Schizosaccharomyces pombe: one gene and its partner. Changing the gene in region 1 together with any one later gene gives a genetic interaction. Each region holds a gene or a part of one and is shown on either strand. Other genes may lie near its edges.

Region 1 (3,757 bases):
TCAGTGAAAAAAATTAGGCCTATCATACGTAGTACTGAGTATGGTTCACCGAAGAATGATTTTGAACAATTAGAAAAGGACAAGAAGTCCTTTGATCAGGTTGAGATTAGTGTGAAAGAAAAAGGCTCTACATATGAAAGAAGCAAGGTTGTAATTCTCATATATTTGGGTACTGAAAATGATTTAATTGCATTGGAGCTTTTACTTAAGTTTTTGTATGAAGAGACGAGTATAGCCTATATTTACACATATGATGAATTCTATAAAGATGATTATGCGACGTCATTGCCTAATGTCGTTTACACAAGTGAAGTGCTGTTAAGCAAGCATAATGACTCAGCTTTTAAGGTATGGCCGAAACTTCGAAAAAACATTCGAAAAATAACTAAGCCAAACGGATTTACAACAGACCAGCATTCTCAGACCTTTATTCCTTCTCAAACACATACGAAACTCGATTTGAGATTATCTGATGTAACAGATAGTGTTCGGTCGAGGATTAATGTAGTAAAATTTGGAAATTTAAACTCACTTTTGAGTTGTCTTCATGAACTTATTCAACCTGCAACCTTGACCCCTTCTTTCGAGACAGAAAAGAGTATAACCATGTTTTTAGGCTGTAGGGATAAACAAGCTGTGAGCGAAAAACTTGAGGTGGCTGCACTGTCGGAGATGAAGAAATTGGGTTACATTGAGTCTAGCTCAGAATTTGGTATGCTTGCAGGTTTAATTCCGTTAGTGCTGTTGAGCAATTTTCCATTAATAGATTTCTTTTTAGGGAAGGCACCTACAAAGATGGTTCAAGGTTATTGATTAATTTCAGGTTTTTATTGCATCCATCTCATAATTTATTTTTAATTAATGATTTAAATGGTTTTCATAATTTATTTGGAATCCAAAGGATCGACTATATTATTTTCAATGTTAGAATTAATGCATTCATCTCTATTCGTTATTCGCAATGTAGAAAACTTGTTTTATACCTTAATAAGAAGAAGTTACTTAGGGTTCTTCTAGTTTTTGGCTATATCGCGATTTATCAAAAAGTGTTATTTAAGAGTTGAATAGTTTACATTGTAGACTCATCTTCCTTCAAAAACCCATGTGAGTTTAAACCCTTATTGGTTTCGTCTGTTTAAACCGATACTTTGAATTTATATCATAGCAAGGGTAAAGTACTGTAGAACAAATGGAGTCAAGCATGCATGCGCATTTTTTACTATTTACTTCTTCAACATTATCTCCAATACATTTCGACTAACTATCATACAAGAAGCATATGAGAAATTAACATACCATACTCACTGCTATTGTAAAATGTATGGTATTCCTTTCAGAAGGTAGTTCGGTTCTTTCTCAAATAACTAAATACCTCTTCCAAGATGGAAAAGATTATAAAAGTAATCATTCAAAATCGATTTTATTAGCTCAATTTACACTCAGTCTGTTTTTCACAATTTTTGTTACAGTATGAATCTTTGTTACGTGGTTACCTTTTCGTATTCTGTTCTATGTTGTTAATACGCTTACTGTATTTAAACAAACTAAAATGCATGGGATAGCGCATTATTACGGTATACGTTAGTGACCAATATTCGCCATGATGGCTTGTTATATCTACTTAACTCTCATGAGCTGGTAATATCAGCGAAATTTCAAGCAGTTCGCGTTTTGCCAATTGCTCATAAAACTGCGATTTTTTAAGGATTGTATAATTAAATTCAATTCTTTAAATAATTGTGTTGCATTGTTACAGTGTTTGGTGGTTTCAATACGCTAATTGTAATTTTGATCTTTCTGATCTTGTTTTCTCTTAGAAGAGGAAAATAGGTACGGAAATTACTGAACCGATTGGGAATTACCAGGATTTATGACTATACTGCAGACTACTGGTTTTGCAATTGCAAATCAGTTGGACGGTATTTATCAGACGCTGGTTTTCTTGTTATCTTCATCAATACTATTCGGGTACATTCAATATCAATATCCTGTTAAATCCGAGGATTTCAATATACCTTTTCCAAATTTTTCCATATTTACAAGTTGAGGCTAAGCACTTATTGTCATAAGTTGGTGGACAGTCATTGCGCTGCTTAGATCATTCTGTTATTGAACCACCGTTTAACTCAACAGCCTGCTTCGCGCAAATAATATTTTCTTTATTGTTTCTACGGGATTTTTTTCATTTACATACCTTTACATTTTTGGTTTCATAAAAGAATTCTGTAGTACAGAATTGTTTATGGCACCATCTAACAATACAATAATTTACATTAAGAGAAACCTTTTACGTTTACCTTCGTTGGCATTGGAATAATTCATCTATTGATTCTTTACAGCTATGCAGCAAACATACAAACCAAACACCTCGGCCTTGAAAGACGGTGCTCCAAAGGCTACGGTGGATCAGAAACAACTATTACCTTGCAAATATCGTGTCGGTCGGGTTTTGGGAGGCGGAACATATGCGACGGTTCGTGAAGCCGTTCATATCGAAACTAACAAGTAAGTATATTTTAAATTCGAGTTGTTTGCTGACCAAATTTTCATAGAATGTATGCGGCTAAGATTATGAATAAAAAGATGATGGAGAAGAAACAAGACTTTGTAAGTAAAGACTTAAGTACTTACAGCATCCTTATTTACGTTTACTAACATGTTTTTGGTGGTATAGGTGAAGAATGAAATTGCAATTCTAAAACGTGTTTCTTATGAACATCCTAATATCTTACACTTGGTTGATTTTTTTGAAACTGTGAATAATCGTATGTCTCCGATTTCGATTTGATGAATCAAATGTTATTGTGATGTGTTTTGTTCACTAACCCTTGAAACAGTGTACTTAATCACTGAACTGGCCACCGGTGGTGAACTTTTTGATAGAATATGTGCCAAAGGTTCATTTTATGAGGCCGATGCTGCTGCTTTAATGCGTACTACCACATCAGCAGTTAAGTACTTGCATGACAATGGAATTGTACATCGAGATTTGAAGCCAGAAAATTTACTTTATCGCTCTAAAGATCCGAATTCAGATTTGTTAATTGCCGATTTTGGATTGTCCCACTTTTATGAGGATTCTCAATACTATATGCTCATGACGGCATGTGGGACACCAGAGTACATGGCACCCGAAGTCTTTCGTCGAACCGGATATGGAAAACCTGTGTAAGTTGATCAACTACCATTTTAATTCAGAAGTTATGTATCTTGACTAATACTGTTTATAGAGATATGTGGGCTATTGGCGTTATAACTTATTTTTTACTCAGTGGTTATACTCCATTTGCTCGACCTTCTCAGGTTGAAGTTATAGAAGCAATTTTAGCTAACGAGTACACTTTTAACGATCCTTGCTGGTCTGGCATTTCAGAAACGGCCAAGGACTTTATTAAAAAATGTTTGGAAAACGACCCTTCGAAACGTTTAACTGCTGCTGATGCGTTGAAGCACCCCTTCCTGTCTGAAAAGCGTCCCGCAACCTCCAATTTGCTTCCAAACGTCCGGGAAAATTTCAATGCAAGAAAAACGTTCCGTACTGCCTATAACGCTGTACGTGCTTTCAACACTTGGAAAAAGCTTGAGAATAAGCATTAATTATACACATCTTTTCTTATAACTTTCTTATTTTATCTTGTTATGACTTATGACTTCTTTATTATCTTTTGCCCTCAGTACATACTTTTTTGGTATTAACACTCTTACATGTTAAATATATTCTTTGTGATTTGGAATGCTTGGACCTATCATGTTCTCT
Region 2 (3,757 bases), on another chromosome or scaffold:
CCGCAAAGCTCGCTATCATTAACCCAAAGGTTGCTGAACACATGAGTGTGTTGAGTAAAGCAAAGGCTGAAGGAAACAGCGAATTAATGATGCAAGCTACCACTCAAATCCAAAACCTTTATAAAGTTAACAATGTTAACCCTTTGAATTTGCTTTCTGCTCCTGTATTTCAGGGAATTCTGTTTATTAGCTTTTTTTACGCGTTGAAGACAATGGCGGGTGTACCTGTAGAGGGTTTCACTGATGGTGGTTTTTGGTGGGTTAATGATTTATCCCAGCCTGATCCTCTACACATATTTCCGGTTGCAAACGGCCTTCTTATGCTGCTCAATATAGAGCTTGGTAGCGAAACTGGAAGTAATAAGGTTGCTATGTCTCCCTCAATGAAAAAATTTTTTAGATTTCTTTGCCTTGCCAGTCCACTATTCACTATGAATTTTCCTATGGCAATTTTTATGTATTGGTTTCCTAGCAATGTCTTCAGTGTATTTCAAGGGGCATTTTTGCGTTCATCCACCATAAGGCATAAACTTGGCTTACCAGAAGTCCCATCTGCTATGCCAGTACCGAACGCTCAAAATGAATCGTTTGTTAAGTCATTTACCGATATTGTCCATGGGGTTCAAGAAAAAGGTAAATACCCACAAGCCTCTGAAATACTAGATGCTACACGTTTCCTTAAAACCGATACAAACAATGAGCAAAAACCTACTAATAATAGTACAATTACCAAAGCTACTACGCTATCTGATAATTCTCAAAATGACAAGTCCTCTTCTGTTACCAAACCCACCGAGAAGAAAGATTAAGCTTTTTTGTGTGCTTTGGAATTCTCTTTCTTAGAAGTGTTCCAATGTCCTATTGAGAGCATAAAAGTTTGTAAGATATGGTTAATTTTTTACATTTGTTGCATTATTCATTTCTTTCCTTTGGCTTTATCCCATAATTTTACATATGTTTTAGTTTTTGCATATATCTTCACACTTGCAACACTCTTTTCTATTTCCTTTACTTCTAATAAAATACCCAAATTTACATTTATTTTGCTTATTCTTTCTAAAAATCGCTTTTGTCTAATTCTTTACTACGGAAAGCGATGAGAAATCAAAGAATATTTACAATAACCTAAAATTTGACGTAGCCGTCTAAACAAAAAATAAAATGATTATTAACTCTTAAAGTGTTTTATGGATATTTATTTTATCAATAAAACTATCGTTATTTCAGTTAGGTAATCATGGAATGTAAGTTTCATCAAATCAACTTAGTTTGCTTCTCTCAAAAATGAGCAAGGCAATATAATTAGGAAGGAATTCAGGTAGTATTTGGGTTCCCTTTCTACAAGTTCATTTCTTATTACTAACACGATTGGTTATTAAGATATGTTTGTCTAAGCGGCGATTGTTTGTAAATTTTTAAATATACAGAAGTAAAGATTATGATGAAATATATCTATATTATAAAAAAAAAAAAAAGTACTTAGAATTGTAAACAGATATGTTTTTTGTTCACATGGTTCATTGAGAAAAGCAATTACGAATTTCTTTGCTTTTCGTTAAACCATTTTCCAAAACCGCCGGGACGATGTAAGTATAACAAACCAGAATCTACCAAAACTTTTTGCAAGAATATCTAGCATTTTACCCAGGCTGTATATAGGCTTGCAAAAGTTACTAATATGACTTCGGGTCCTCATAATTTAGAAGACCCAATAGTTCGAGCAATTCGCCAAAAAAATCAAGCTCCTTCTCATGATTTTACAATATTTGTTCAAGAAGATGGCTCTAGTGTTAGCACACTGGATAGAGTAGTGAAAAGTACGGATATTTTTGAAAGAAATTAGTCTTATTAACAATCAAAGATGTTCAAGCACCAGCAACTTATATTCCGACGGACGTGGAGTTTTTTGATATTAATGAACCTGATAAACCTGACTTGCATTTTCTTCGCAATCATTTCATTCGGGAAGGCCGTTTATCTGAGGAACAAACGTTGTATATTATAAAAAAGGCTACAGAAATTTTGAAGTCAGAAGACAACTTGATTGAGGTGGATGCACCTGTCACTGGTATGTTGATTATCACCTTTCATATTTAGGCCCTAATTACTATAAGGTAAAATATTAGAACTTTGAAATGTAATTTATGACTATGTTTTTCCTTCATTTTAATTTGGGTCGATATTTTGTTTGTATTGCAATATTCTTCGGTCTGACAGCTTAGTATGCGGTGACATTCACGGCCAATATTATGATCTTATGAAACTATTTGAAGTTGGAGGTAATCCAGCAAATACCCAATATCTTTTCCTTGGAGATTACGTGGATCGAGGATATTTCTCAATTGAGTGTTTATTGTACTTGTGGGCTTTGAAAATATGGTATCCGAAAACGCTTTGGTTGCTTCGTGGCAATCACGAATGCGCTCATCTTACTGACTATTTTACCTTCAAGTTAGAATGTACTCATAAGTATAATATTAAAGTTTATGAAGCTTGTTTACAATCTTTTAATGCCCTTCCTTTGGCAGCTATTATGAATAAGCAATTTTTATGTGTACATGGTGGATTATCACCCGAACTACATACTTTGAATGATATACGAATGATCAATCGTTTTTGTGAGCCTCCAACTCATGGGTTGATGTGTGATTTACTCTGGTCTGATCCCCTTGAAGATTTTGGATCGGAAAAATCAAACAAGCATTTTATTCATAATAATGTTCGTGGCTGTTCTTACTTTTATAGTTACCAAGCTGTTTGCACCTTCTTAGAAAACAATAATCTCCTCTCCGTTATTCGTGCTCATGAAGCTCAAGATGTGGGCTATCGAATGTATCGCAAAACTAAAACAACCGGGTTTCCATCTTTGATGACCATATTTTCAGCACCCAACTATTTGGATGTTTACAATAATAAAGCTGCTGTTTTGAAATACGAAAATAATGTAATGAATATAAGACAATTTAATTGTTCCCCTCATCCTTACTGGCTTCCTAACTTTATGGATGTTTTTACTTGGAGTCTTCCATTTGTGGGCGAAAAAGTTTCTGAAATGTTGATTTCAATGCTCAATATATGTTCTAAGGAGGAGCTTTATGAAACGGATTTGAAAGAATCGGCTCCGACTCAGCATAAACAGCCTGCTCCATCTGAGAATGAAAATAAAGCCGACCAAGAAATTGATATTGAAGCTCGTAGGCAAATTATTAAAAACAAGATTATGGCTATTGGCCGTATCTCTCGAGTATTCAGTGTGCTTAGAGAAGAACGGGAAAGTGTTTCGGAACTGAAAAACGTGTCAGGTACGCAAAGATTACCTGCGGGTACTTTAATGTTGGGAGCTGAGGGTATCAAAAATGCTATCAATTCCTTCGATGATGCTCGTAAGCTGGATATCCAAAATGAACGTTTACCGCCATCTAATAGCCGTCGACGTTCTACGGATTTAAAGGCTTTCGAAGAAGTAATGAATTCGTCTGAAGATGATACCTCTATCGATCATTTGGTAGAACGCTTTGCAGATAAGAAAAGCTCTTTGTAGATACCAAAACCTGCGCATATTCGTTTTTTAGTTGGAATTTTTCAATGAGCATAAACCTGATCCGAGGTTTTAAGCATACTTACAACAAATATCTAAACACTCAAAATAAAGAAAGCAAATGAGTTTACTTTAGCATAATACAAGATAACCGATGACTAGATACATAAGCATTGCATTTAGATATTCATAATAAACTTTTTGGTATTCATAACTATG

The links.
Region 2: of cmk1 (region 1) and ppb1, changing one suppresses a phenotype caused by changing the other (phenotypic suppression), as found in Schizosaccharomyces pombe (one study listed by BioGRID).

The regions. Positions count from the first base shown.
Region 1 is NC_003424.3:1,737,672-1,741,428, reverse strand, and holds the start of cmk1 (calcium/calmodulin-dependent protein kinase Cmk1), read left to right. Parts: upstream 1-2,128; 5' UTR 2,129-2,341; coding exon 2,342-2,505; exon of another isoform or gene 2,506-2,552; coding exon 2,553-2,607; exon of another isoform or gene 2,608-2,674; coding exon 2,675-2,765; exon of another isoform or gene 2,766-2,837; coding exon 2,838-3,168; intron 3,169-3,230; coding exon 3,231-3,597; 3' UTR 3,598-3,757. Other genes in the region: potassium ion/proton antiporter Kha1, read left to right, coding at 1-813. UniProt on the Schizosaccharomyces pombe protein: Important in cell cycle regulation.
Region 2 is NC_003423.3:2,872,319-2,876,075, forward strand, and holds the start of ppb1 (calcium-dependent serine/threonine protein phosphatase calcineurin catalytic subunit Ppb1), read left to right. Parts: upstream 1-1,603; 5' UTR 1,604-1,678; coding exon 1,679-1,817; exon of another isoform or gene 1,818-1,861; coding exon 1,862-2,068; exon of another isoform or gene 2,069-2,222; coding exon 2,223-3,541; 3' UTR 3,542-3,757. Other genes in the region: oxa102 (translocase Oxa101), read left to right, coding at 1-809. UniProt on the Schizosaccharomyces pombe protein: Calcium-dependent, calmodulin-stimulated protein phosphatase. This subunit may have a role in the calmodulin activation of calcineurin. Appears to be involved in cytokinesis, mating, transport, nuclear and spindle pole body positioning, and cell shape.